Linked DNA regions of Struthio camelus. Each later gene encodes a partner of the first gene's protein in a complex. Links are inferred from orthologs where the notes say so. Each region holds a gene or a part of one and is shown in the gene's direction. Other genes may lie near its edges.

The links.
Region 2: EXOSC4 (region 1) and EXOSC7 share a complex: the UniProt entries of both Homo sapiens proteins name them as parts of the RNA exosome core complex. The link is inferred for Struthio camelus from reciprocal best matches to the Homo sapiens genes EXOSC4 and EXOSC7.
Region 3: EXOSC4 (region 1) and EXOSC1 share a complex: the UniProt entries of both Homo sapiens proteins name them as parts of the RNA exosome core complex. The link is inferred for Struthio camelus from reciprocal best matches to the Homo sapiens genes EXOSC4 and EXOSC1.
Region 4: EXOSC4 (region 1) and EXOSC9 share a complex: the UniProt entries of both Homo sapiens proteins name them as parts of the RNA exosome core complex. The link is inferred for Struthio camelus from reciprocal best matches to the Homo sapiens genes EXOSC4 and EXOSC9.

Annotation. Positions count from the first base shown.
Region 1 is NC_090943.1:173,041,269-173,047,949, reverse strand, and holds EXOSC4 (exosome complex component RRP41), read left to right. Parts: upstream 1-3,881; 5' UTR 3,882-3,937; coding exon 3,938-4,108; intron 4,109-5,226; coding exon 5,227-5,433; intron 5,434-5,603; coding exon 5,604-5,963; 3' UTR 5,964-6,173; downstream 6,174-6,681. UniProt on the Homo sapiens protein: Non-catalytic component of the RNA exosome complex which has 3'->5' exoribonuclease activity and participates in a multitude of cellular RNA processing and degradation events.
Region 2 is NC_090943.1:50,965,422-50,972,897, reverse strand, and holds the start of EXOSC7 (exosome complex component RRP42), read left to right. Parts: upstream 1-4,469; 5' UTR 4,470-4,620; coding exon 4,621-4,677; intron 4,678-7,476. UniProt on the Homo sapiens protein: Non-catalytic component of the RNA exosome complex which has 3'->5' exoribonuclease activity and participates in a multitude of cellular RNA processing and degradation events.
Region 3 is NC_090948.1:16,978,389-16,986,095, reverse strand, and holds EXOSC1 (exosome complex component CSL4), read left to right. Parts: upstream 1-4,688; 5' UTR 4,689-4,744; coding exon 4,745-4,775; intron 4,776-5,019; coding exon 5,020-5,135; intron 5,136-5,327; coding exon 5,328-5,402; intron 5,403-5,771; coding exon 5,772-5,860; intron 5,861-6,126; coding exon 6,127-6,160; intron 6,161-6,355; coding exon 6,356-6,406; intron 6,407-6,504; coding exon 6,505-6,589; intron 6,590-7,005; coding exon 7,006-7,112; 3' UTR 7,113-7,357; downstream 7,358-7,707. Other genes in the region: palmitoyltransferase ZDHHC16, read right to left, coding at 141-229, 594-788, 1,010-1,262, 2,109-2,230. UniProt on the Homo sapiens protein: Non-catalytic component of the RNA exosome complex which has 3'->5' exoribonuclease activity and participates in a multitude of cellular RNA processing and degradation events.
Region 4 is NC_090945.1:19,634,105-19,641,630, reverse strand, and holds the start of EXOSC9 (exosome complex component RRP45), read left to right. Parts: upstream 1-4,523; 5' UTR 4,524-4,606; coding exon 4,607-4,672; intron 4,673-4,832; exon of another isoform or gene 4,833-4,856; coding exon 4,857-4,951; exon of another isoform or gene 4,952-4,966; intron 4,967-5,656; coding exon 5,657-5,776; intron 5,777-5,889; coding exon 5,890-5,992; intron 5,993-6,227; coding exon 6,228-6,365; intron 6,366-6,873; coding exon 6,874-6,956; intron 6,957-7,289; coding exon 7,290-7,422; intron 7,423-7,526. UniProt on the Homo sapiens protein: Non-catalytic component of the RNA exosome complex which has 3'->5' exoribonuclease activity and participates in a multitude of cellular RNA processing and degradation events.

The DNA of each region.
Region 1 (6,681 bases):
GAAAACCTGAGGATTTTGTGATGTAATGAAGGCTTATCTTGACAAAAGTCAACAGCAAGTAAACCTTGGGGAAGGAAAGGTCCCTTGGAGCGCCGGGCGAGTGGACTGTGTCGGACTCAGGCTACCTACCTCCAAGGGGTGGAAATTTATTGTGACCGCAGTTGAAGCGTCGGGCGGTTTGGGTAATGTTTACCCCCACACACACACCATCGCCATCCAGATTGGGGATTGCAACAGGATTAAGCCAATGCTATAGTACACGCCCGATGCCACAAGAGATACAGCAAGATAATTGGTCACATTTTAAAAAGAAAATAGCACAAGAGTGGTGTCTCAAGCATGGAGGTAAGTGGACTTTCCACTGACCCTATCGACCTCAGAGTAATGGTATAGTAGAAAGATGGAACGGGTTGTTTAAACAACAACTCAGATGGTGTAAGAGTGGCTCTAATTGGGGAAGAAACTTAGGGGAAAAACTTAGGTGCCTTGAGCACCTCAGCGAGGCATCCCGGAGAGAGGTGAGAATTCAGCACCGTGGCTGGGAAACGCGGGGCTACTCTGCAGCGCTTTCAAGGGAAAGTAGATCTACGGGAGTGAGACGAGTCACTACTGAGGCTGGGATGGGAGCCAAGACCTATGTCGTCTTGTTCCCCCCCAGGAGCTGCCGACCTCCCGGACAAAGGAACGGGAACCGTCGTTCAACCTGTCTACGACGGAAAGCGTCTGCGTAGCAAGTACGTGAACTGTCGCGTAGGGATGACGTCTAGAAGGGAAGCCACGGCCTAGCCTTGCAGCTACTGAATTATCCCGTTTTGCTACTTGCTGTGCCATTAACTTTGATTTTGCTGTGTCATCGCCACAGAGGATGTCACTAATATCTAAGAGGACCCCTCGTGTATCCGACAGTTCTGATCCTTACTTTAGGAAATCCAGGATATAGCGCATAAACGTGGATGCACTCTGCAATAATCCAGCAAACACACACATGCTGGTGACTTCTTCTGTGACATGGGGTATGAGGCCCAACATATCTACAACCCACCAGTGCAGTAGTAAAAAAGAAGGTTAAAACCACCTGACCAACCTTACCGTCCACTTAATTGTTAGTAGTCCCTATCCAAGGACCTGGACTCGGTCCGGAGAAACGGCTACATTATAGAGGGAGACAACGTCCCCAGTGTGACCACGATACTACTGAAGGAAGGGTCTATTACATTTGCCCTCTTGCACAACTGTACCCATGCAAAAATATCAGAGAATGCCATCAAAGGGTGGCAAGGCCTGCAGGGAACAGAGCCGCTAGGACTCGTTACGTGTGCCACTTACCGGTCAAGCTCGCGGCTCGTGTGCCACGGAGGGCAGCAATAGCAATTGCCCAAGAAGTTCCCAAAAGATTAGCGTTTTTTTTTGCCGCCCCTGAAGTACGGGAATTTTACATTAAGAGTTGATGAGACACTGTTAATATTAGTAAGGTATATTTAAATCGCTCACAATGGACAATACCCATATGTGAGCAATGATATGAGTCCTGTTGGAAAACTCGCACAGTTAAGGATCTTTCCAGTGGTTTGGGAGCTGCTGGATTGGGCACAGGAGTGTTGAATTCCATGGACTTAGAGATTGTTAATAATAAAATGCCTAAACTAGGACAATTAAGCAAACAAGTTATAATTGGCCAGACCACGGATACAGTCAGTGGAACGGACACAACCACTAAAACACTGGCTATTGGTCTAAGTCCCTGGAAAAAGCTCCAACAGATTTTGAAGGAGACGTGTACCACCGTTCCCTGTTTCGTCTCCAACACCAGCCATGCCACTGCTTGTGTTACCACGCAAACCTTCGTTATAAATGAACACGAACAATAAGCCAATTGGAGCCACAGAGGAAATCCTGCTGTGTGAGGGACCCCATCACCGTACTGGTGTCAGGACCGGAGACACCAATTTACCAAAACTGAATACTCAGGGGTAGGAAGCAAGAGATGTCTGCTGAGACGTCTGGATCCATTTATTACCGCACTGTGAGTAAGGAAATCAAAGAAAGACCAATTTACCAATATACCTCACTGCCCGTTACCGTAGCTAAGAGTGTATGGGCTCCAGTTCAAGGAAGCAAATAGACTACAAACGTAATCTAATCGATACTCGCGGATGTGAACAATGGGGAAAACATGACCTGTACCGCCCTGAACGTTCGGTATCGCAAGAGCTTTGTTCGAGTAAAACCTCCTCGGGTACCTGCTGTTTAGACTCCTGCGTATGATGACGGCACTGTTGTACTTAAGGGAAAACCGGGTTTTGCTCTGCGATGGTCTATGCAATAATGGGAATATAAATAATAAATAAATAAATGAATGAATAGAACCATCGCTCCTGCCCGAGATCGCCGATGCAACGTTACGGCACTGGAAAGCTGTGAACGACTTTGTGGAAAGCGTAAAGCTGACCTCACACCGATGCTGGCGGAGTACTGGCCTACGACGGGGCAGGACCCGTAGGACCGCTATGGGACTCGGCGTGTTCTCAGATTGAGAACTGGAAACTCTCATCACCAAACATGAGGGAGCTGCTGCTTATCAAAGAAGGGGTGACTCTTGCTATCAAACATGATGCTGGCTGGATTGTGAGGACTGAAACAGAAATCAAACTGCTGGGCGTCACTGGTAGCATATTTCCATGGGATGCGCACCATTTCCACGGGATGGCAGATTGCATCTTACGTTACATCCTACGATCATGGTATTGTTCTGCATTTTATTATTATGTCGTTATGTTCGTATAGCCGAGTCTGTCACTCACCTCACCGTGTTGAAGGCAGGTATGATCAGCTGGTACCTGGTAACAAACCGTGAAGTTACGTTTAGGCGAAAGCGCTCAAACCTTTCCCCTAGCCTGACCCCAGCAAGGCGTGAGGAGTAACAGCACCTCCGCTCGCCGAGGCGGCGGGTTTGCGAGTCCTTTGGTCTGTCCCAAGCCGGGGGAGCGACTCCTGCTCCGCTTTGGGACGAACGCGGGGCTCGTGCCGAGGCCGGGTGCCCGCGGGGCGCACCGAGAGCAACGCGGGCGCCAGGCGCTCAAGGACGTAAGGAGCCGGGTCTGCTCTCCCGGCGGCGGCGGCTTTATAAGTAACCGCCTGTTAACACCTGATAAGACCGAAACTCTTTGGAAGTAAGCGTATCTTGGCGGAGCGCCCGAAACGAGCGAGAGGTGCAGGGCGCAGGGCCGAGCCGGAAGGCACGGCCCCGTCGGCCGAGCAGGAGGGGCGAGCGCTCCCGCCGTCGGCCCGCTCTCTGTTCTGCTCGTCAGCGCACGAAGTAGCGAATTAGCGAGTTGTGAGATTAGGCTGGTCTGTAGCAGAGGGATTAAGCGCTTGTTTGATTTCTACTCAACGAGCTCCCGCAGCGCAGCGCGGCTCACGCACTACCGTCGTCCCGCGAGCGGAGCGATCACGGGGCGGGGAGCGACGGAGAAATGAGGCAACCGGGGGAAAAAACACCAAAAAAACACCAAAAAAAGGAAGAAATGGCCCCGCTCCACCCCCAAGGGAGCAATCCCCAGGGCCAGAAGCCTCAAGGGTCGGCACTAGCAGGAGGCGGGGGCGGCCGGGGGCTCCGGGCAGACCGGGCACCGGGCGGGCCGCAGGGACGGGCGCGGCGCCGCCCCGCGGGGGGAACCGGGCCGGGCCGGGCCGGCCGCCCTCTCCGACCAGGCCGCGCCGCCATGGCAACGCGGGGGCGGGGCATGCCGGGAGCGGCGGCCGCGCCGCGGTGCGCGCTGGGAGCTGTAGTTCTGGCGGCGGAGGCGGCGCGCTGCTGGCCGGGCGGCCGCGCGGGGGCCGCCGGGAGGTGTAGTCCGCGCCGGGCGGGCGCGCGGGGGCCGCCGGGAGCGGAAGTCCGCGCCGGGCGGGCGCGGTCGCGGGGGCCGCCGGGAGCGGCATGGCGGCGCTGGAGCTGCTGTCGGACGAGGGCTACCGGGCCGACGGGCGCCGCGCCGCCGAGCTGCGCAAGGTGCGCGCCCGCATGGGCGTCTTCGCGCAGGCCGACGGCTCGGCCTACATCGAGCAGGGCAACACCAAGGCGCTGGCCGTGGTGTACGGCCCCCACGAGGTGAGCGCCCGCCCGGGCCGCCGTCCCTCTGGGCCTGCCGCGACCCCTGGCCGGGTGTCCCCGCCGTCCCCTCTGTCCCCTCCATCCCGGCAGGCCCGGGCGGGTGGACTGTCCCCGCTGTCCCCGCTGTCCCCTCCATCCCCCCGGACCGGCAGGCCCAGGCAGGTGGACCGTCCCCGCTGTCCCCTCCATCCCGGCAGGCCCAGGCAGGTGGACTGTCCCCTCTGTCCCCTCCATCCCGGCAGGCCCAGGCAGGTGGACCGTCCCCACTGTCCCCTCTGTCCTCTCCATCCCGGCAGGCCCAGGCAGGTGGACTGTCCCTGCTGTCCCCTCTGTCCCCTCCATCCCCGTGGACCGTCCCTGGTATCCCCGCCGTCCCCTCTGTCCCCTCCATCCCGGCAGGCCCAGGCAGGTGGACTGTCCCCTCTGTCCCCTCCATCCCCCCGGACCGGCAGGCCCAGGCAGGTGGACCGTCCCCACTGTCCTCTCTGTCCCCTCCATCCCGGCAGGCCCAGGCAGGTGGACCGTCCCCGCTGTCCCCTCTGTCCCCTCCATCCCCGTGGACCGTCCCTGCTATCCCCGCCGTCCCCTCTGTCCCCTCCATCCCGGCAGGCCCAGGCAGGTGGACTGTCCCCGCTGTCCCCTCCATCCCCCCGGACCGGCAGGCCCAGGCAGGTGGACTGTCCCCACTGTCCCCTCTGTCCCCTCCATCCTGGCAGGCCCAGGCAGGTGGACCGTCCCCACTGTCCCCTCTGTCCCCTCCATCCCGGCAGGCCCAGGCAGGTGGACCGTCCCCGCTGTCCCCTCCATCCCCTCTTTCCCCTCCATCCCCCCGGACCGGCAGGCCCAGGCAGGTGGACTCTTCCTGCTGTGCCCTCTGTCCCCTCCATCATCTCCGTCCCCCTAGGGCCAGCAGGCCCAAGTGGCCAGGTTTGTCCTCTCTGTCCCCTCCTGTCTCCCCTCCGGGCCCAAGAGGGAGCCAGGCAGCTTGCTTTCCCCCACCCACATCCTACCCGCGGTCCCAAGCATCCCCTGTTCCCCCCCCGCCCCGCCCCAGCCAGAAGGGACCCAGGTGTCTGGGCCCCCTGGGGCTGGAGCCCACCCTGGCCCCTTTGCAGATGCGCGGCTCCCGCAGCAAGGCCCTGCACGACCGGGCGCTGGTGAACTGCCAGTACAGCATGGCCACCTTCAGCACCAGCGAGCGCAAGCGCCGGCCCCACGGCGACCGCAAGTCCAGCGAGATGACGCTGCACCTCAAGCAGACGTTCGAGGCCGCCATCCTCACGCAGCTCTACCCCCGCTCCCAGATCGACATCTACGTCCAGGCGAGCCCCGGGGCCGGCGGGGGAGGGACAGCCCCTCGGTGGGGGACAGGGGTGGACGGGGAGGGGACGGTCCGTCTGCGGGGCGGGCTGTGCCCTGCTCGCTCCGGGCCTCGGCCCCAGGGGTGCCGGGGGCTGGCTCCAGCGCTGAGCCTGCCCTGCCGCTCCCCCAGATCCTGCAGGCGGACGGGGGCAACTACTGCGCCTGCGTGAACGCCGCAACGCTGGCCGTCATCGACGCCGGCATCCCCATGCGGGACTACGTGTGCGCTAGCTCGGCCGGCTTCGTGGAGGACACCCCGCTGGCCGACCTCAGCTACATAGAGGAGGCGTCCGGGGGGCCGCAGGTGGCCCTGGCCCTGCTGCCCACGTCGGAGCAGATTGCCCTGCTGGAGATGAACTCGCGCCTGCACGAGGACCACCTGGAGGAGGTCATTGAGGCGGCCAGCAAGGCCTGCAAGGCCGTGCACGCCATCCTGGACCAGGTGGTGCGGGACCACGTGCAGGAGGTCACCGCGCTGCTGGGGGACTGAACCGGGCCGCCCCGGCCGCGCGTCCCCTCGGCGCCCTCGCGCTCCGGCTGCGCGGCGCGGCCGGGAGCGCCGCCACGGGCGGCTTTGCTGACGGTGTCGGTGGAGCCGGGGTCCGCGGGCCGCGGCTCGGCCCGGTGCCGGCAGGTCCCGCCCTGCGGAGTCCGTCCTCAATAAAGGGCTGCTCGGCCGCGGTCGGCGTCTCTTCCCTCGAGGGCGCTGGGGCGATGCTTGCGAGGCCCCTGGCGGGGGACCCCTCCTCCCTCGGCCGCGTCCCGCCATCCCGGACGGAGCCTGCCCGGCCCGGCCCGGCCCTGCCGGCGCCTGTTTCCCCTTCCCTGCTACCGTGGGAGCCCGGGTCCCGCCAGTCTGCGGACCGAGGCCTCGGGGAGGGACGCCCAGCGGCCCTGGGCACGGCAGGGCCCTGCGCTCGGCCGCCGCTCGCTCGTCTTGGGGGGGCAATCCCCGGGAACGCCGCAGCCCCACGGCCCGGCACGGCTGTGTGGTTCTGCGAGCCGTTGCTCGCACCCACCCCCAACACTGCACGGCCTGGCCGGGGGGGTGGGGGGTGTTGCTTCCCCCTTGCCCCCTTGCACAGCCTGGCCGGGGGGGCCATTGCTCTCCCCCTTGCAGGGCCTGGCCGGAGGGGGCTGCTGCACATGCACTCCCCCTTGCAGGGTTTGGCCGGGGGGGGGGCCGTTGCTCCCCCTTGCAGGGCCTG
Region 2 (7,476 bases), about 120 Mb from region 1:
TTTAAAAATTACTTTTGAGAAGTACTCCAGAAATATTCAGAAGTTGTTGTTTAACAACAGATTTACAATTAAAATACAACTCACTGTCCATTTCAACTAAAGCAGCCAGAGCATAGCATCCTAGTTTCAGCACAGCTTACTCCCAGCCTTGAAGTGCATCACTGTCCTCCGATCCCATTGCAAAGCCGCAGTGAAACCTCAGGTGACATGCAGAGCCACCTTTGAAGTCAGCACTTCTGTTTAGCTGTCTGGCTGCTCCCTTCGATACCGCACCAATAACCGCGTTTCATCGCTACAGCTCACTAGCGGATCGTAAGACCCCGATGAAACTGCTGAGGCCTCAGAATTTAAATTTCCTGCCGAAGAGACATTACGCAGCCCCGAACGCTAGCCTTTAGTAACGCAAGCACTGAAGCGGACCTAAACAACATACTGAAGCTAACGTTCTTTAAAACAAAACGCTGCAAGCCAGTGCAATGCAGACAGGAGCCCAGCGAGTGGGCACAGCGCAGGATTTCTCCTGAGCAAGGCGAGCGTGAAACCGCCCGACGCGTTCCCATCTCGCGACCGAGGCGAACGGCTCCAGTAAACAACCTCTCGGGACGCCACCCGCGCCGAGCCCTCGCCCCTGCCCCTGCCCCTGCCCCTGGCGCAGCGCGGGCACAGGGCGGCCCCCGGCTGGCCCTGCCGGCCTGCCCGGGCCCCACCGCGGCAACGGGCGGCCCCCCCCTCGGCGGCGGGGCCTCACACACGCCCCCCCACCAGCCCACACCCGCCCACGCGGGCGCGGCCCCCGCTGCCACTCCCCACCACCTACCCCACAGGCCGCCGCCGCCGCCGGTCCGGCGCGCGCCCCGCCGCCCCCACGCCGCGCGCGCCCGAGCGCACGCCGCCAACGCCGCGCGGGCCAACGCGCCCCCGGCGCGACGCCCCATCGGCCGCCAGGAGCCGGCGGCGCGCTGCCCCCCCCCCCCCCGACCCGGCGCGGCGCTGCCCTCCCCCGCCGCCCCTTACGCTGGCTCGGCGAGGAGGTGGGGCGGGCGGCCGGGAGGAACCAGGAAGTGAGCGGCGCCGCCCGGCAGGGCGCAGCCCCCTCCCCCCCGCCGGGCGCCCCGGCCCACGCGCGGGCCCCGGCCGCCGGGCTCGGCCCCTCCGCCCGCTGCTGGCCCGGGCGGGCGGCCCTGGGGAGGGAAAAATGCGGGGCTCGTGAGGAAAAAAACAGGTTTTAGCAAGGGGGGAAAAAAGACCGTCTATATAAGAAGTATGTTTGTTAGAAGGAAAAATACGTTTTTCAGAAGGAAAATGCAGGTCTTGGAAGACAAATACATTTTGTATACGGAATAAAAAATGGTTTGTGTAAGGAAAAAAACCCCACTTCTTGTATAATAAAAAAGTACTGAAAAATGAAGGGCACCAACGTACACAGCAGCCAGAACAAGGCTCCTGCTTCTGCCTTGCGCACCCTCCCACCAGCCTTGTGGGCTTGTAAGGCTTCAGGATAGGGGCTGCCCTCTGATCCCGCAATACCGGGCACGTCAGGAGTCATGCTGGACATACAAGAGTGGGGGTGCTAACGTTTCTTCGTCATATGCTTCTGTGCGATATCCACTGTCTGTATGCTGAAGGGTAAGCATGTATATACATGCATATGTATGTCACAACTGATGCACTTCCATGTTCACTCTTGAGCACAAGACAGATGGTTTGCAAATGTCCAAAACACTGAAACATCAAACAGGACAGAGCATATAACTGCAGGTGTAATCACTCCCAGGCACCTGCTTGTTATAGATAGGGCAGTTGTTAAGTTTGCTTGACACTCTCCATTTTAAGCCACTGTTTCCGATGTTTACAACTTCACCAAGCATTAATCATGCAGTGTGAATTTTTACATTCCAGGTGGTTCCCTCAGGCAGATTTAATTTTTCCATTTCAGCCAACACATGTCATCCATTTACCATAATGAGGTTAGAGAAAAAGACATTGCTTTGCCCTTGTTAACAAATCTGGCAGCCTTTTTCTCTGATATACCTTCGTTGTTGCTTTGCCTTGGATAAGGGTATTCAAGTGTACTAGGATGTGGCCTTCATGTCAAGCAGATGCCTTTTGCCATCCCTGAGAAAAACAAACCAGATACAGACTTACGCCTCTGGAAAATTGCTGTTCTCATGTGAACAAGGAAGATTTGCTAGCTAGGCATCTGAACTATGCAAGTATTTGACTCACTTTAGGCAGACTCCAAGCTGGGATGGCAGAGGGGAAGAAAAAGCAGTTTCCTTGCTACTGCAGTCAGCTGCTGTGGATGAAGCCAAGAGAAAGACAGAGCTAGGAGCCAGCATACAGTCTTCCCTGTGCTCCCAACAGAAAGCACAGGATGCATCTGCGTTAGCCCTTTAGTTCAGAACAGGAATTCACTTTTTGAAGGGACTCTCTCAATCACTTCCCCTTACTGTAGTGTGGTTTACACTGTCAAGTACTACAATGTAAGAAATGCACTGCTGGGTGACACAAAAGGTCCATCTGTGTTGGACAGCAGCATTAGCAGATGCTATTTAGGAAGAGCACGTGAGCCTGGCCCCTTTTCTTCAGGGTCATTCCCTTTCCCTCCTACTCCCCAGCCTCACAGCTGTTGGCAGGGACCAGCCCCAGGAGGAGGCCTGGCCCTGCTCATCTCCTCAGGGTCAGGGGGAGGGTGCTCAGGAACAGGGCAATGTACCCACAACACCGCCTACTGCCACAGGCCTACTGCTGCCTCTTTCCTCCCTGTCTTGCCCCCCTCCTGCTATTTTGCTAAAAATGAAAAGACTGGGTGCCTGCTCGCCATCCTGGAGGAGCTTGTGGCCCTGGGTCCAAGCAAGGAGAGGATGAGCCCCGACAGGCAGGCCCTGAGTAAAGCACAGAGGCAACCCTGGCGCTCCCTCCTCTCCCTGCTTCCCAAGAGCCCCTGCCCTGGGATGGCTGACTCACCCCCCTGTCCCTGTCTGCCAGGACCCAACTTCCTGGGCCAGCATCCATGGGGCCCTGGAGCCCCACAACCTTAGAGACTAATGAAGATCTTCCAGACGCAAGGCTGCCAGTGCCAAATTTGCCATGGTGCCCGGGGCCCCCTGACATGGGGCTCCCCCATCCCTCATGCCCCCGTCTTCCAACCCCCATGCATGCAGAGCAATGATGCACTACACCCACCCAGCAGCCTCCAAACTTCCCTGAGTGAGACCCCACTGCTGACCCTTTCTGCTCAAAAGTGATCAGTAATCCCAACTAAATAACCGTGGCATGCAGGAACGTGATTCTTTCTGGATGCAGATAAGCAATGGGAAGCATTCTAGAAATGTACCTACTATGCTAAATGAACGTTCAGCCCACTAAAGGGACCAGACCAGAGCTAATCCAAAGTAAAATTCCCAAAATGTGCTTCACTACAGGATAGCTGCCATTGCATGCTTCAGATTGCCTGCTGAAGTAGGCACAGCCAGAAACGCTTCGCACATCTGACTGACCAAGGAGTTTAGGGAAAGAGCACAGGAAACTTCTACAGAAGCTCTGGCTTTGTAGCGTGTCATGCAAGTCACTAGTCATCCTTGTAAGCCACGGGTCTTTTTTACCCAGCTATCTGTCAACATGAAGATATTGACAGATATGTCAATGTGAAGATATTTAATATTGCCAGATAGCAATATTAAAAATAATTCAAAAACTATACACAAGAGCTGTGCTAAGAACATGCAACTTACAACATTAACCACTTGTTGTTATGAAACACTCAATTAGGGCTGTCAAAACCCCTTAATTTAATTATTGGGTTAATATATAGTATGGGTTTTTAATTGCATTTCCCATACTACTTTCCCAGGGATATATGGCACAGAACCAAGAGCACTCTCCTAATGAGAACGCCTTGTTTTTTCCCCGCTCCTGCACCAACCTGCCCAGCATGCTGCAGCTCACGCAGACCCTTCTCCGAGGTAAAAAAACCTGTTTATTTTCTCATTCTTCTTAGGGTACTTATCACTGTGCAGGCCCTTCCCAAACGCTCGTGTATTTTCACAGCTTCTATGAGTAACTTTTACCTTGGCAAAGGGCAGGCAGAGAACGATGAACAACCCCCTTGGCCTATGACGAATTTGAGCTTCTCGGACGGGAAATTTTCCGGCGCACTGGCTGCTCAGCAGGCACCGTGTCCAGAGCAGTGCCCGCGACTGCCCAGGTGGGGCTGGAGCTCACTGCACCCCAACGAGACAGGCGCCTAAAGCCGGGAGAAACGCCCCCCATCGCCTGTCCCCCAGGAAAAGCTTCCGAGGAAAAAATAACGACTGCGCTCCCGACCTTGCCTGCAGGCAAGCGGGGCGAGGGGGAGGCAGGCGGGGCGGCGCAAAGTCCCCGCCATCAGGGGCGCGCACGGCCTGCCACGGGGCCACGACGGCGGCCCAGCCGCCCCAACGGCCGGGGCGCGCGCCGAAGGCAGTGCGCAGGCGCGGCGCCCGCCTCCCCGCTCCGACGGCGGCCGCGCTCCCCGGCGTCACGTGGGAGCGGAGCGGAGCGGCGCGCGCGCTCCCTCGCTTCCGCCCGCAACGGCCGCGGCGGAAGCGGAAGCGCGCGGCGTCCGCGGCGGCGGGAGCGATGGCGTCGGTGGTGCTGAGCGAGGCGGAGAAGCTGTACATCGTGCACGGCGTTCAGGTAGCGGCGGCGGGGAGGGTGGCCGGTGGTAGCGCTGCCCGGTGAGGGGCGAGGGCAGGACCGTCCGTCCCCCCCCACTCCAGGCCTGGTCTGCGTGAGCGGGCGTGCGGGGCGCTCCGGGACAGCGGCAGGCTGTAGGTGTCCTGCCTTGTTTCTCCCTTCCCTTTTTCTCCGGGGGGTGGTTTGTTTATGCTGGGAAAGAAAGCCTGGGTAGAGATGGGGCTACGTTGTCGAGGGGCTTTTTATTGTTATGACTTATGTGTGATAGTCTGCTTAAGGAAACTGTGCAGGTGTTACTGAAAATACAAATTTTCAGCAGAGTGTACTGCAGTAATCATCCTGACAGGTGTGCTCACTGTGGAATGCAAGCTGGGGAATGCTTATTATGCATGAAAGCCTCACTAGTATAATCTGATGTTTCAGGCTCTTTATTGTTTACTTCTGTGATATCAACAATGTTTTCAGCCCTGTAGCTCACTAATCATTTGTGGGGAAATGAGTTACAGTGTAGATTTTGTGGGTGGGGGGAAGCTTTCCATTATCTTGGGTCTAGGAGAGAAAGCTCTGGGATAATCACCCATTTGTGTCACTCTACCAGAGCTGTCACTAAACATACGGAGAGCAGACCATCAGAGCAGGGAGAAGATTGGCAGCAGGACATGGTTGTCTGGCAAAACTCAAAAAGAAGAAGGAAGTGTACAGAATGTGGAAAAGGGGACAGGCCACTTGGGAGGAATACAGGGACGTTGTCAGAGTGTGCAGGGATGCGACAAGGAAGGCTAAGGCCCAGTTGGAATTAAATCTGGCAAGGGATGTCAAGGACAACAAGAAGGGCTTCTTCAAATACATCAATAGCAAAAGGAAGACTAGGGAAAACATGGGCCCGCTGCTGAATGGGGCGGGTGCCCTGGTGACGAAGGATACAGAGAAGGCAGAGTTGCTGAATGCCTTCTTTGCTTCAGTCTTCACTGCTAAGGCCAGTCCTCGGGAATTCCAGACCCTGGGGACAAGAGAGGAAGGCTGGAGAAAGGAAGACTCTCCCTTGGTTGAGGAGAATCGGGTTAGAGATCTTTTGTCCAAACTTGACATCCATAAATCCATGGATCCCGATGGGATACGTCCACGAGTGCTGAGGGAGCTGGCGGATGTTATCGCTAGGCCACTCTCCATCCTCTTGGAAAGGTCCTGGAGATCAGGAGAGGTGCCTGAGGACTGGAAGAAAGCCAATGTCACGCCAGTCTTCAAAAAGGGCAAGAAGGAGGACCCAGGGAACTACAGATGAGTCAGCCTCACCTCCATCCCTGGAAAGGTGATGGAACAGCTCATCCTGGAGGTCCTCACTAAGCATGTGGAGGACAGGAAGGTGATCAGGGGTAGTCAGCATGGATTCACCCAAGGGAAATCATGCTTGACCAATCTGATAGCCTTCTATGACGGAATGACTGGCTGGGTAGATGAGGGCAGAGCAGTGGATGTTGTCTCCCTGGACTTGAGCAAGGCTTTTGACACTGTCTCCCATCACATCCTCCTAGGTAAGCTCAGGAAGTGTGGGCGAGATGAGTGGACAGTGAGGTGGATTGAGAACTGGCTGGATGGCCGAGCTCAGAGGGTTGTGGTGAATGGCGCAGAGTCAAGTTGGAGGCCTGTGGCTAGTGGTGTCCCCCAGGGGTCAGTCCTGGGTCCAGTCTTGTTCAATGTATTCCTCAATGACCTGGAGGAAGGGACAGAGTGCACCCTCAGCAAGTTTGCTGATGATACTAAACTGGGAGGAGAGGCTAACACACCAGAGGGCTGTGTTGCCATTCAGAGGGACCTGGACAGGCTGGAGAGGTGGGCAGAGAGGAACCTCATGAAGTTCAACAAAGGCAAGTGCAAGGTCCTGCACCTGGGGAGGAATAACCCCATGCACCAGGACAGGCTGGGGGCTGACCCTGCTGGAAAGTAGCTCTGCCGAGAAGGACCTGGGGGTCCTGGTGGACAACAAGTTGACCATGAGCCAGCAGTGTGCCCTTGTGGCCAAGAAGGCCAACGGTATGCTGGGGTGCATTAGGCAGAGCGTTGCCAGCAGGTCGAGGGAGGTGATCCTGCCCCTCTCCTCAGCCCTGGGGAGGCCCCACCTGGAGAACTGTGTCCAGTTCTGGGCTGCTCAGTACAAGAGAGACATGGAGCTACTGGAGGGAGTCCAACAAAGGGCTACAAAGATGATGAGGGGTCTGGGGCATCTCTCCTCTGAAGAAAGGCTGAGAGAGCTGGGCCTGTTCAGCCTGGAGAAGAGAAGACTGAGAGGTGATCTGATCAATGTGTACAAGTATCTGAAGGGAGAGTGTCAAGAGGATGGGGCCAGTCTCTTCTCCGTGGTGCCCAGCGATAGGACAAGAGGCAACGGGCACAGACTGAAACACAGGAAGGTCCATCTGGACATGAGGAAAAACTTCTTGACTGGGAGGGTGACAGAGCGCTGGACCTGGTTGCCCAGAGAGGCTGTGGAGTCTCCTTCCCTGGAGATATTCAAAACCCGCCTGGACACAATCCTGGGCAATGTGCTCTAGAGGACCCTGCTTGAGCAGGGGGGTTGGACTAGATGATCTCCAGAAGTTCCTTCCAACCTCAACCATTCTGTGATTCTGTGGTTCTGTACTTTTTTTCTCGTCCTCTCCCCCCTCTTCCCTTGCTCTTTCCCAAGTTTTTGCAGTCGTATAGCGCTTTAGCCTGTTACTAAGCTGGAGAGTAGTGCGTGGAGCAGGGAGGAAGAGTGAAAGACACGTGGGGAGAAGTGCCAAGAGAAAAAGGATTATACCT
Region 3 (7,707 bases), on another chromosome or scaffold:
AAGGGGCCCAGCTCCTGCAGTACTGCGGCAGTGGCGGGGGAAGAGGCCTCCCAGAAGCTGCCCTGAGCAGCACGGGCACAGCAGGCTGCTGTGGGCACTACCTGGTGCAGGTGGCAGTGGGGCACGGTGAGGGACCCTACCTGTTGCAGATACTGCAGTGGTGGGTGCGAGCTGGCTTGGGAGCAATGCATTTCCTGCAGATGGAGACGCCGGTGAGATCGTCCTTGGCCTGCACACAGGACAGAAGAGGGTTGGTGCCCCCAAGCCCTGCCCTGTCCCCTACTTCCAGCACTTTGTTCCCATGCTCCTCACCTCCCTTATGACTCTGAGCGAGCCCTAAACAGCACTGGGGACAGCCCACTACCTGCCCCCCACCAACCTCTCCATCACTCCCCCGCCCCAGCACTGCCCAGCCTCAGCCGCCCCATCCTGGAAGAGGGCTCCTGCAGTGATGCCCCCAGGGTGGTCTGGCTGGTCCCAGCAGTCGTCTGCAGCACAAATTGGGGAGCAGCCCAGAGCTTCCCCTACAGCTGGTGCTGGTCCTGCTCCCGGGAGAGGCTGGGCTGCTGACTGGTGCCCAGGCCTGGCCTCACCTGTGGTGGGTGTCCAGGAGAGGTGGTGATGGCCATGTAGTAGTGGAAGACGATCATGAGGAGGTTCCAGTGTCCGTAGGCGAGGTGCCAGCATATCCAGGCAGGTGTGTAGGTCTGCAGGATGAGGGGCAGCAGGCAGATGTACACAATGGCCACTATGGAGCTTGTCAGCCCAATCACCAGTGCCACAAACACCTATGGGAAAGGGAACTGAGTCACGGGAGCACGCAGCACCTGCCCCATTCTACCAAGGCAGGATTCAGGCACGGGAAGACGAGTTGAACCACAAGCCAAAGCCCCCACTCCCTCCAGCTAAGCACAGCACACATCAAGCCCAGTGCAGGCAGCCGGTTCAGTCCCTGCAGGGGTAAGATTCAATTGCCCCAGGAGCACCCCTCCCCATTGGGGACACTCACCACACCGAACCAACGGGTGACGTGGTCCACCAGCCAGTAGACAGGCTCAAAGAGGGAATCGAGCACCACGTCGCTGTTGGTGAAGGAGTTGTAGAGCAAGGAACGGAGGCAGAGGCGCCCGTAGTGCCACAGCTGCTCCACTTGCCGCACCAGCTTAAACCGCCGCCGCCGGCCCAGCCGCAGGCATTTGAGGAGCAGGCGCATCACCGCCGCAAACATCCGCTGCCGGCTCCTCATCCCTGCCGTGCCGCACCTGCGAGGAGAGACGCTTAGCATGGGCAGGCCGCTGCACTGCCCAGGCACCCAGCCGTCCCACAGCAAGGGCTGGGGACTCCCTGGAGAGGCTCTGCCCTCCTGGAAGTGCTGGTGCCACTCTCAGAGCCCTGAGTGACACCCCAGCTCCCTGCACCCTCTCAGAGCCCTGAGTGACACCCCAGCTCCCTGCACCAACCCTGCTAGACACCTGCATGCACAGCAGAGCCAGGACCTCTCCTATGTCCCACACAAGGATGCAGAGTAGGAGTAGGAGGAGCTGAGCCCACACTCCTGGAGGCCGTGGGGCTGCAGCAGGGGACACAGGTCCCTCAGCCCTCCACGGCTGGGTGTAGACGCTCTCCAGTCCCATCTCGTCTTTCCCAGAGGAGAGGGGGCCAGGATAGTGAGACGGAGAGACTGACTCAGAGGAAACCAGAGAAGGCGCAAGTGTTCAGGATGCTGGGCCAGTTCCAGGGCAGGGGCTCACCAAGGATGCTCAGAGACAAGGGACAATCCCAGGCCCAGTCCCTCATGCCCAGTTCAGGACTGGGGGAGTCCTCAGAAGACAAGCACAGAGGACCCACACCAAGATTACCTTGCTACCCCCAGAGGGCAGGGCCTGGACGTTGCTTCGCTTTGCTCGAACCTCCAGACCAAGCCTCAGGAGCTGTTCCCCACCTCACAGCCCCACTCCAGGAGACCCACAGCTTCCCCTCTTCCCCTTGCCTGGTTTCACCTCAGATAACCCCACGTGACAGTGAAGGACAGGCTGGTCTGACCCTGGGAAGCTACAGGCAGACATGATGCTGTGCAGGAAAAGAGACCCTCACAGCCAAGAGCTCACCTGCCTGCTGAGCTCTTCATCCCACCCGAGAGCCGTGCTAGGAGCGAGGAGGAACCCGAGCTGGCCCAGCAACGAGGCAAACGATCTGCTGGGTCGGGGCCCCGAGGCCTCCGTGCAGGCATGGCCCATCAATATTAACCAGGAGTGAGGCCACCCCAGGGTCCTGCGAAGGCACTCTCCGAGCCTGGGCCAGGCACTCGCCCCAGCACAGTGCCAGGCAGCAGTGCCGCATGCTGCCACGGAGCCTGTCCCCCACACGACTCACGACAGCTCCGCAGCCACCCTGGCCCCAAAAACTGCCCTAATCTCTCTCAGCTGCTGTTTCCAGCTCCCCACTGGCACCAGGCGAGGCAGGCACAGAGCTGCCCCTCGGCAGGCAGGACTCGCCACACAAGGCAACGGAGCCAGGTCTAAAGCAGCATTCGCCTGGCTCCAGCCTGCTGCTCCCCCATCCTCCAAACACCTCCACTCCCTAATACTGGGAACACCCAGCCACATCCCCAGTGCGGCTAAAGCAGCGTGATGACGGGACCCACAGGACAGCAGAGCTGCTGGGCCCAGCGCTGCCCTGTGCCCAAACCACGGAGCCCAGGCCATCTCAGTTCCCAACCCGCGGGGGACCCACGCCAGTTGGAGGGAGCAGGAAGGTGCCACCCGCAGCAGAGCCTGTCCAGCGGGGACCAGCTCCCTGTGCCACGATACCTGCTGCCACCAACATGCTGCCACACCAGAAGGAACTGGCAGGGGACAGCCCCTGGGGAGCAGCAGAGAGGGTAAGGTCAGGAGCTGCAACATCCACACGGGCTGTCCAAAGGAGCCAGGGGCTCCCCTCTGCCCTGCCCTGCCCTGCCCTGCCCTGCCCAGACGAGTGTAGGGCTGACTCCAAGGCTTGGAGCAGCTGGACATCAGGGTGTCAGACCCACCAGACCCAGCAATCCGCCACAGGCCATAAGCATGACTCCTCCCCAGGTTCCTACTTCTCCTGCACTCTGGTAATGGGGGGGTGGGATGAGCAAGCCCCAGTGCCACCCCCTACCCTACGTTTTCTCTAGACTCTGCCAAGAGTTTTCCTCTGAAACATATTAGAAGTGGATTAGCACTTTCAGCTGCATAGCCTTTGGGTGGCATCTGTCCCCATCTTTTTAGTCTAAGTAAGGGTAAAACGCTGCAGCCGGGGCAGGTCTTGGGGCCGGCCCTCCTCTCCAAACCCACAGCATATATGCCTGCCAAGCCCGCTCCCCCCAAGACTGCCAGGCTCTGATTAAAGAGATTGCCTCGCCTTTGACAGATGGTGGCTGCCGAGCTGGAGGGGCACACGGAAGGCAGTCAGCCCGAGCTGCCTAGGGACAGGGCAGGAACCCTCTGCCCCGGGGCTCCCCCCTGCAGACAGCAACGACGAGGCTCCAGCAGAGCCGTGCATCACCACAGGCTCGCTCTGGCACCAGAGCTCCAGCCCTTGCCATGCCCATGGCCCTGAGGAGCCGAGCCACACAAGCACGGCCATCTCCCCGCCAGGGAAGGGGCAGCAGCAACCTCCAGCATGGCCAAGCCGGACACCACAGGCATCAAAACAGCAAGAAGCAGGAGAGAGCTTTAGGGAAGGCCCTACCCCAGGTATATGGCGAGGCCTGCAAGACCCTGCGGGGCTGCAGCTTAGCGGAGCCCAGCCCTGTGGCACCCTCTGCTGGCTTCCAGCTCCCCCATTCCAGTAGCACCCATGCCCCGCAGCCTCCAGCTCCGAGTCACCCTCCTTCAGCACCCAGCAACATAACACAAAGGCTGCCCATGCCAACCGCACAAAGCCCTCAGCCCCATAGCACCTAGGCTCCTCAGCCCCACAGCACCCAGCCCCTCCAGGCCCATGACATACCCCTATTCACTCCCCAGGCCCACAGCACCCCCTACCTACTGTACCCAGTCCCTCCAGGCCCATGGCATCCCCCCACTGACTCTCAGCCCCACAGCATCCAGCCCCCTCCAGGCCCATGGCATCCCCCCACTGACTCCCAGCCCCACAGCACCCAGCCCCCTCCAGGCCCATGGCCCTCACACCGACTCCCAGCCCCACAGCACCCAGCCCTTCCAGGCCCATAGCACCCCCCCATTCACTCCCAGCCTCACAGCACCCAGCCCCCTCCAGGCCCGTGGCACCCTCACACCGACTCCCAGCCCCACATCACCCAGCCCTTCCAGGCCCATAACCCCCCCCCCATTCACTCCCAGCCCCACAGCACCCAGCCCCCTCCAGGCAACAGCATCCCCCATTGACACCCAGGTCCCCTCCAGGCCCATGGCATCCCTCAGTGATGCCCTGCCCAGCCCAGCCCATAGGGCCCCGCTCCCCCGTGCCAGCAACCTGCGGCCCCGCCGCCCGCCGTCTCCATGCCCGGCGGCCCGCCGCCCTCTGCCCACGGGCAGCTCCCGCCGCCCCGCACACTGCGCCTGCGCGCTGGCCGCGCGGGGCCTGCCGGGAAGCGCCCCCTCGGCGGGCGCCGGACTACAACTCCCAGCGGGCAGCGCGCCAGCGCTCTGGGCAGGGCCGGCACGAGCCAATAGTAGCGCCGCTTACGGCAGGGTCTTGCTGCCGGGGGCCAATAGAGTGAGGGCTTTCTGCGGGTGCACTGCGAGTAGTTAGCATGGCGCCTCCGGCTCGGTACTGCGTCCCCGGTGAGTGCAAGGCTCCGGCCCGCCCGCTCCGCCGCGGGGCCTAGGCGGCTCGGGGAGGGCTGGCCGGGAAGGAGGTGGTGGGGAGCCCCCCGGGGCATGCGAGGAGGCAGGCCCGGGGGGCTCTGGGGATAGGGGAGAGGGCCGCCCTGCAGAAGGGGCCCTGGCGGCGGCGGCGGCGGCAGCACGGCCCGAGCCCCGGCGGCCTCTGCCGGCGCCGGCCTCAGGCTGCGCGCGCGTCCCGCAGGCGAGCGGCTGTGCAGCACCGGGGAAGCCAGCGCCGGCAGTGGGACTTACACGCGGCACGGCTTCATCTTCGCGTCGCTGGCTGGCTGCCTGGAGAAGAGGAGCGAGGAGAGTGGGGTGAGCATGGCTGTGGCACGCACTGCCCTTCCCCAGAGGAGGCTGTGCAGCCCCTTCCCAGCCCGCTGCCTGCCCTGGGCAGCTGGGCTCCGGCTGTCCAGCCAGTGTGTGCTCTGAGCATGGTCCAGCACGACCATGTGCGTGAGCCGTGCATCGTGCCCTGAGCTAACCCTCGCGTCTGCTCCCGTGCAGCTGCCTGTTGTGTCTGTGGTGAGAGATGCTGAGTCCCAGCTCCTGCCTGATGTGGGGGCCGTTGTGACATGCAAGGTAGGGCACTGGAGTGTGTGCAGGTCTGTGCTCTGAGGAGGAGGGCCCTTTGGGTGCAGGAGGGAGATGCCAGCCTTGCAGTGGCAGACCTGGCAAACCTTGTTGCCCCACGGCTTGTGGAGCCTGGTGCACTCTTCAGGTGTACAAGTGCCATTTTCCTGCTGGCTTGCTGTTGGGTATCCCTTCTCCTTTGCGGCTCCTTTGGGTACACAGAGCTGGGGGGGCCTGGGACACTACCTTCTCATGTACAGCCATGGGCAGCAGGACCCTTGCCTTATACCTGTCCTGGTGCATGGATGTCTGGGGAAGGCGTGCTGGGGTCAGACCACGCTTGGATTGGCACTGATTCCCAGCTCTTCCTCTTGGCAGGTTTGCAGCATTAACTCCCGCTTTGCCAAGGTGCACATCCTGTACATCGGCTCCACACCCCTGAAGTCCACGTTCCGGGGAACCATACGGTAGGGAAAGGGCTGGATTCCCAGCAAGGCCTAGTGCCCAAATGGCCCGTCCTCAACATGAGCAGAAGGGTTTTCTGCACTGCTTTGCCTGGGCTCTGGTCCCTGCCAGCCAGGCGAAGCCTTTGGCAGGAGCTCTGCCTCGAGTGCCGGCAAGATGCCCAGCAAGCCCTGGTGGGCATTGACAGAGGCTGGGGAAACTCCTGCAGCGGGGTGGGGAGTCCTGTTTGCTCACTCCGGTGCTCAGATCCCTCTGTCTCCTCTTCTAGGAGAGAAGATATTCGAGCCACAGAGAAAGACAAGGTCAGTGAGGCACTGCCAGTTTCTGGGCTACCACAGCAACCCTGGCATGTGCTCAGCCTCCTGTACTCCTTTCTGTTGGCAGGGTGGCACTTGTCCTGCCCCAGCTGTGGGGCAGCTGCCATGGCTGCCCTGCCATGCCCCCACTGACAGGCTCCCCCACACACTGTGTGTTTGTGTCTCCTCTCTCCCATGCAGGTAGAAGTTTACAAGAGTTTCCGCCCTGGTGACATAGTCCTGGCCAAAGTCGTATCCTTTGCCCTCGCACCGGGAGGGCCCGCATGGGGGAGAGGGTTTGCGCTCGAGTCCCCTCAGGGAGGCCTTTCCCTTAACCCGTTTCTAACCAGATCTCCCTGGGGGATGCACAGTCCAACTACCTGCTGAGCACGGCGGAGAACGAGCTGGGTGTGGTGGTGGCTCGCAGCGAAGCAGGTAGGAACAGGCAGCAGGGCCCAGGCTCGGCCAGTTCTGCCTCGCCCCATGTGAGGAGCAGCTGATGCAGCTCAGAGAGCAGAAGCACCCTCCTCCCCTGTGCTGCTGAACCTCATGGGCCCCAAGGGCCTTGGGAGGAGGGATTTGGACCGTTGGAAACAAGGAATACAAGTGAAGGTCTGTGGCTATTAGCAGAGATGGGTGGGTGGTCACGCAGTGGGAGCAGAAAGGGGTTTTGTTGCCTTAAAGCTGGGAGGCCAGAGCTATGCCCTCTGGGCACGAACCCACACAGCCCCCTTGGCTCCCTGGGGCAGTCAGAGGGGCCTAGCCCAGACACTGTGTGGAGGGAGGTAAGGCACCACAGCACAGGGATGGCGGTGCTGAGAAACCAGCCACTGACTTGCCACGCTTCCTAGGGGTGCAGATGGTGCCTATCAGCTGGTGCGAGATGCAGTGCCCACGGACGCACACCAAGGACTTCCGCAAGGTGGCCCGCGTGCAGCCCGAGTTCCTGCAGACCTAGCAGCCCTGCCAGCCCAATGGGGCATGGCTTGTCGCTGGCTGGCAGCAGCTGGCTTGCGCCCCTTGGAGCCTGCAGTGAGCCTTGCTAGCCACCACCCTCCAGGGGCTGCTGTGGCCCAAGGAACCACTGGATTTGAGCCTCCTGCATTCAGCTCTGCACCTGCCAGAGGTTGGAAGAGCCAGCCAGGCCCTCCCTCCCAGGATGGATTTTATATTTGTGCTGTGCATAATAAATATTTTCCAAGAGCTTTCTGCTCTGCTCAGTTACTGTCCAGAGGAATTGCTCCAGCTGCCCCTAGCCAGCTGGGCTGGCTCCTGTAGAGCAGCAGTGGAGTTGCTGGAGGGGATGACCTCCCACAGCAGTGCAGGCACAAGGGAGCTAAATGCCTGTTTCCAGGCCACTAGTGGTGCAGGGGAGTGCCTAGCAGCTTTGTTGCAATAAAGACTATCAGCAGGGTGCTCTGGCTGTTGTTCTCCGCTGCAGAGTTTGGCTCCTCTTGGGCCTCTCCACAGCAGTAGCAAGTGCAGAGAGTATCCTAGCTTCCCCCCTCCTGCACAGAACAAGGAGGTGATAACCAGAACTGGGCACAGCTGCT
Region 4 (7,526 bases), on another chromosome or scaffold:
CAGACTTTCGCCTCTGCATTGACCTGCTTGGGAGAATCCCATGAAAGACGGTCCTGGAGACAATGGGGATCCAGGTGGGCTGGCTGATTTTCAAGGGTCACCTGCTCCAAACTCAAGAACGGTTCACCCTGATGAGGAGGAACTCAAGCAAGGGCAGCAGGAGGCCTGCATGGTGTCAGGGAGTAGGAAGCCAAGCACAGTAACACGGCCGGCAGGGTATGGCCTTGCCAGTCAGGGCCCCACAGCACCCAAGCAAGGGAGCAGGGCAGACCTAGAGATTGTGGCCAGCTTCAACCACAAGTCCAGATCATCCAGCAAGTTCATGGTGAGGAGGCAGGGCCAAGGGCAAGCTGGGAAGTTAAACCGCAGGTCAGGGTCAGGATCAGGTCCAGCAACGGCCAGGCCGAGCTGTGGTGACAGGGCTGGGCAGAGGCCAGGCCAGGCTGTCAGCCTGCAGGTCAGGGTCCAGATCAAGGGGGCCATGGCCAGGCAGGGGCAGGGCGGTGACAGTGCTGGAGGCCAGCACCGCTATGGCATTGCTGGGGCAGGGACTGAGCCGAAATGGGGTCCTGGGCAGGGCCAGCAGGGCCTGGTAGTGTCCTCAAGGACCCGGCACGTGCATGAACAAGGATTCCCTGACAAAATCCAAATATAAAAAGTAAGCTTACAAGAGGTGGAAGCAGGGACAGGTGGCCTAGGAGGCATACAGAAACACTGTCCGAGTGTGCAGGGGTGGGTAAGGAAAGTCAAAACCATCTGGAATTGAATCTGGCAAGGGATGTGAAGGGCAACAAGATGAGCTTCCACAAGGACTTCAGCAGCAAAAGGAAAACCAGGGAAGACATGGGCCTGCTGCCGAATGCGGTGGGGACCTTGTGGCAAATGACATGGAAAAGACTGAGGTACTTAATGCCTTTTTCACCTTGTTCTTTACTGGTAAGATTTGACTCCAGGAACCTCAGGCCCCTGAGACCAATGGGCAGAGAGGAACCTCATCAAGTTCAGCAAAGGGAAATGCCCACTCCTGCACCTGGGGAGGAATAAACCCCTGCACCAGTACAGGCTGGGGGCCGACCAGCCGGAAAGCAACTCTGCAGAGAAAGACCTGGGGGTCCTGGCGGACAACAGGGTGAACGTGAGGCAGCAACGGGTCCTTGTAGCAAAGGAGGCCAACAGCTGCTAGGGCTGCATTAGGCAGACCGTTGCCAGTAGGTTGAGGGAAGTGATCCTTCCCCTCTACTCAGTCCTGGTGAGACATACCTGGACTGCTGGGGCCAGTGCTGGGCTCCCCAGTACAAGAGACACAGGGACAAACTGCAGTGAGTCCAGTGAAGGGCCACAAAGATGATTAAGGCCCTGGAGCATCTGACATATGAGGAGAGGCTGAGAGAGCTAGGACTGTTTAGCCTCTAGAAGGCTCAGGGGGATCTTATCAATGTGTATAAATACCTGATGGGGGGACAGAGCCAGACTCTTCTGTGGTATCCAGTGACATGACAAGAGGCAATGGGGACAAATGGAATTGTAGGAAATTCTATTTAAATATAAGAAAAAAAAAATTAACGTGAGAGCGGCCAAGCGCTGGAACAGGTTGCCCAGAGAAGTTGCACAGTCTTCATCCTCGGAGATATTCAAAACCCAACTGGGCACAGCCCTGGGTAACCTGCTCTAGCCAACCCTGCTTGAAAAAGGCAGGTTGGACTCTAGACAGTCTCCAGAGGTCCCTTTCAACCTCAGTAATTCTGTGGAAAAAAACCTGTCGTGCCAATGTAGGGGAAAACATCAAATTACCTTGTTTGAAAGTGAATGTACACCCTCAGATCACTTCAGTTCAGTCTCAAGTGTCATAACATGGAACCCTATAACCTGAACTGGTTGCATATTCATATATCCCCCTTACTGAATGTAATGCACGTATCCCACTCCTGGAAAGAAATTATTCTCACAAGGCTGAATGATTTTTTTCAGACAAGCTAATCTCTGATTTCTTGAGGTTTGGTAAGATAAGTAATGGCAGAGCTAACCCAATCTACTACGGAGAGAATTTACAATGACTGTAGGTAAATTCCCAATAATACAGTAAATGGAACATGTTACAAATGGAACATGTTCTCCAGAGTTCTCTTTGAAGATGGTGAGCCCAGTCACCTTCCTCTCACTTCCTGTAACCAAGATTAGCCAAATGGAAGATCACATTTGTGATCATAATGATATTGTGGAATGCTACCATTAGACTCCTACACTAAAAAACACAGAGAGAGCGAGAAAAGAGTAACACAACATTGTTCCGATTACCCTATTTGTTAGAGACGTAACTCAAAAGCACCGCCAAACACATTCTATTCACTGGGATGTAAAAAGATTCTAATCTCTTTTTAAATTATAAAATGACAAATATTCCACAATCCGGCTTCCAGCAAATACTATGACTTACTATGTGGATGAGAACGGACTCCTAGTAAGTATACTGACAAATACAAAATGATAGCACATAAAAGATGTAAGAAAAAACATTCAGAGAAGGTCATTTATGTGTTTACCTCAGGTTTACTTGAATATGCCAGAAAAGAAAATCTCCTCAGTGCAACTAAGCGTCTGAAATTTGTACTGAGTTTCTACGAATGCAACATACAGATCACGAGGCGACAAAAGAAATGCATCAGTGTTCTAGGAAAGGATTTGTATTAGCATGCTTGGCAAAAATAGTTTAAACTAGAAAGCCATTCAAAATACAAAGCCTACCTCTACATCCCACCTCTCTCAGAAGCTTGCCACTTTTGTTATTCAACTTACACGTTTCACCAAAAATTATTCTGCTATTAATTCTTAGAAAATAATTTCATTCTTATCAAATCTTAAGTGACGGCAAGTGATTAGTACCCAAGTTCTACATTTCATGTAAAAAGTCGCATCAGCCACAGCACTGCAGAACTAAGGGCTGAGTCTGCTAATAAGGAGCGAGCTTGGTCCCAGTGGAAGTGTTTTTCCTCAGTGATTTCAAAATGGCCAGAATTTAACCCCAAGTCTTCACTAATGAATGCCATCACTGAATTTAAACAAAGAATGAAAAAAAGCAAAACCATCAGAATCTCTACCCAAGTAAAATCTGCACCTCAAAGTCCAAGGGAAAAATAAAACAACCATGATGACAGTGGATGAGAGAAAACCTTGCTCCAAATGTTAATATATCTGTGACTAGACTAAAGCATGCAAGTATTAAACCATTTTGCACCTTATTGTTGCTTAACATGTAGTATCATTTAGGAAAACTATTGGCTTATCTTTGTCTCTACAACAAGAGGGCCATTACAATCTCTTGTTGGTATTCTTTTAGAATAAATATCGTTGATGATAAGCATTTATTATATCTTGAAAATATAAAACCAGCGCAGGTAGTCTTACAGTGCTTGTCCTCATTTGGCATAAACCGCAAGTTTCTGAATGCAACTCACTTGTTAGTTTGCACTAAACTCTTCTTAATACTTGTTAAGTGTGTTAACGAGCTTTAAAAATATAGTATCATGAAGATATTTCAACATTCCTACGCGAGAATATGTGCGAGTAACAGATTTTCTCATTTCAACTCAAACCAAAAGTAAAAACCACTTGTAAAGGCCTTGAGTTTTCACTTACAGGAGAAGCTTCAGAACAACAGGAAATGAATTCAAAGTTTTGTTGTACTTTTGTCTACAGTCCTACTCACCTTGCTACCGCTGCCAGCTTAGCTGCTTTCTACAGGCTGCTCTTCTTTGGCCTCTCTTTAGTATTCTGCCTGTCTTGAAGACTGGGCACTGCATCTGTATTAACCAATGAAAATATGAGAGATGGATTTTTTTAATTCCATATGAGTTCCCAGACAACAGAGCCTTTTGCACACATCCCCATAGCCTTTATTCCTTTAGTCACTAAAAAATGCATCGAGACTCATAGACACCACAATAACACCTTCCGAGGCCACCTGGGTCACCCCTTGTGGGAGCAGATCGCCAAACTATGGCTAAAACTTACTTTCTCAGCTACCAAACACTACTTTGTATGTATTTACGTTGCGACACGTTTCACTACCTTATGACCGTTTCAGGTCATTCCGACACAAATTTCACTAGCAAAGGTCTCTGTATCTCGGTTCTTACCAGAGTTAAAGCTTAAAAACATAGCAAAGACTTATGGAAGCATCAGAAAGTCTCCTCCACTGATTTAAAGTAGCATTAGTGACACCAATCAAAACGCAGATCAACAGAGATCAACTTAATGTGCAAATTCTCCAGAGGGCAAGTTTACAGGTGCAGAACATGATACTGAGATCAGTCACCGTATCAACCACCTTTATTAGCAGGCTTGGCCCACGGAGATAAACAGGTTTCTCTTAGAAGGAGTGTTTGCAGGAGGCTGTAAAGACTAATTCCCCTCTTGGAGCCTTTTCCCGGCGCCGCCCGGCGGCAGAGCCTCGTGCGAGGGGCGCTTCGCCTCAGCCGCGAGAGCCGTTAGAGCCGTTACGGCGCTTCCCGCCCCGCGGGCGGCTCGCGCAGCCGCCGCCGCGCGTGCGCCCCGGCGCCCACCGGCCGCCCCGTGATGACGCAGCGGCGCGCGGCCCGCACCGGCCGCCATGAGGGAGACGCCGTTGTCCAACTGTGAGCGGCGCTTCTTGCTGCGTGCTGTCCAGGAGCGCAAGGTGCCGCACCGGCCTTCCTCCCTCCTCTTCCTTCTCCTTCCCTCCCTGCTCTGCCCGTGGCGGCGGCGGCGGCCTGCCCGGCTCTCGCCGCCCGCGGCGGGCCCCTGGCCCTCTGCCCCCGCCTGCCCGCCCGCCCGCCCGCCGGGGATGGCGCCGTAACCTTGTGTGCGTTTCTCTCTGGCAGCGCCTGGACGGGCGGCAGAGCTATGACTACCGCAACGTGCGCATCTCCTTCGGCGCCGACTACGGCTGCTGCATCGTGGAGCTGGGGAAGACCAGGTAGGCGGGGGGGAGGGGGGGGGACTCGTCCGGCCGGGAACGAGCCGCCCGAGCTTGCCTTCGCTGCCCGGTGAAGATGGCTCAGGCGCTGCTGGCGCTCTCACTTTAAAACGTTACACTTTCCCAACCGGCAGAAGCAGATGAAACGCTCAGCATTGGATGAGAGGCGTTTGGAAGCCCACTGAAATCGCCATAAAGGGGTTTTAAGGGCCGAAGCCTAAAAGCGGTAGCAGTTCAGGAGTAAGAGCGTATGTGATAATTTGGAGTGGAAAGGAGAGGGAAAGGATGGGATTTCCGTGTTGCTGGTAGGTTAAGAAAAACTTAGCAATTATAGATACTGTTTAATTTTGCATACTGTTATTCAGTGACCTCATACATTTTGCAGTCTTCCACAAATCAGATGTCCCTTGTATGTATGGGGAAAAGTGGAGCATATGCACTTAAATAAACTTTTAGTTCTTAATTCTCATGTGTTTGATTCTGGTTTAATCCTAAAGTTTGGGACAATGTTTTAATGTCTGCGTTCAGTCCTTTCAATTAGAGACTAGCATTTAAACATGTATGACAGGGTAGAAACTGGGAGAAGACAGTACTGCAAAATAAAAGCCCAAATGCACATTTCTTCAGTGAATATATTTTGTTTCTAGTGGTAGGGTTTTTTTTCCTACTAAATTCTATGGCCTGGGGGTTTATTTCCCTCTGCAGGGTTCTTGGACAAGTCTCATGTGAACTTGTTCCCCCCAAGCCAAATCGGGCTGCAGAAGGCGTACTTTTCTTCAACCTTGAGCTCTCACCAATGGCTGCACCTGCCTTTGAGCCTGGCAGGTATGTAGCTTTCTTAAAAAGACTAAAAACAGGGCAACGTAAGAGCCACTGTTTTGATACATATAAATATGCAGTGCAATCATACACGATCTGGGATGATTTTATTTTAACAGGCAATCTGAATTACTGGTGAAACTGAACAGACTAATAGAACGATGCTTGAGAAACTCCAAGTGTATAGATACAGAATCTCTCTGCGTTATTGCTGGTGAAAAGGTATGGAGAGCTACCGATTTCCAGGTGGTTTTATACTAGAGGATGCGTATGGTCTGCTTTTAAGGTGGTCACTGCCTTGTTTACCAAGATTTTTCATCCTAACTTCTTAAGCCAAGAACTGAAGACTATCCCTTGCTTCCTTTAACGATTCAAAAGCTGAAAGCATTTTGAAAAATGACAGCTTCTGTGGAATCATGTTACAAATTACTGAGTTATTATGTATACTTTTTCTTAGGTTTGGCAAATTCGTGTGGACCTGCATCTGTTAAATCATGACGGGAACATTATTGATGCTGCTAGCATAGCAGGAATTGTAGCTTTGTGTCATTTTCGCAGACCAGATGTATCTGTACAAGGAGAGGAAGTAACTGTGGTAAGTTATATCAGCCCATAGTAAGTGCTGTGGGATCACAGTTAGTTGTTCCTCTCTGTCTGAGAGAGCAAAAATAAATGTTTATGTAAATAGATGAACTCCAAGATACATACTGCTTTAGGATAAATGTATTGCTGCAGAACATGTGAGAGGATAGTGAGTGAGCCTGCTGAATACTGAATTTTATCAACTTCAGCTTTGTGGGAACATTAATTGTAAAATATAAGTATTTTACAGAATGTGTTAACTGATGAGCAGTATTTCAACTGGATCAAATATGAGAATGAAGAATGCGCTCCATTTACCTGTGTAGGTAATAAACAGAAAGGATTACACAAGAATAGTTAGAAAGATTTTTGTTAATATTTAGATGACTAAAAGTTCATGTGCCTTTTTTTTTTTTTTTTTTGCTTTTTATTCCTTTAAATATCTTGTGTGAACAGTACATCCTTTTGAAATCAAATACGTGTTTTGTAAATAATTGTCTTCTGGCCAACTCTTTTTAAAGTACACACCTGAGGAGCGTGATCCTGTCCCTTTGAGTATCCATCACATGCCTATTTGTGTCAGTTTTGCCTTCTTCCAAGAAGGGTAAGCTTTTTGTTAAGTCTTTGACAGAAGCAGCCTATTGTCAATTCTACAATAAATGTAGAAGAGTCTTAACAATGTTTGTATTGATAGGCTGATTTCTTAAAACACTTTATCTGAAATGAGGTGTCACTGAGATACTTGGGTGTACTGCACAAGCTTAAGTAACCACTACCTTTCACAGACAACGTAGAAAACTTTCTTGGGTTGAAGGTGGGGAGGTATAATCATAATTATTTCCATTTAAACCTATTCTCCGGTTAGATTTTCTTGAGAATAGTAACTCGCTTGCCTTAAACTTTTAGTATTGCATTATATTCGAAAACTTGATTTTAGGACCTATTTATTGGTGGATCCAAGTGAAAGAGAAGAACGTGTAATGGATGGCCTCCTTGTAATTGCCATGAATAAACATCGTGAAATTTGTACCATCCAGTCCAGTGGTGGGATTATGCTATTAAAAGAGCAGGTAAATCTTTGCCTCAGCCAGTCTTTCTCTCAAATGTAAGCGACTTCCTATACTGTCATGTTGATACTGAAAAGTCCTTAACATTTTGAATCTAGGAAAACAAT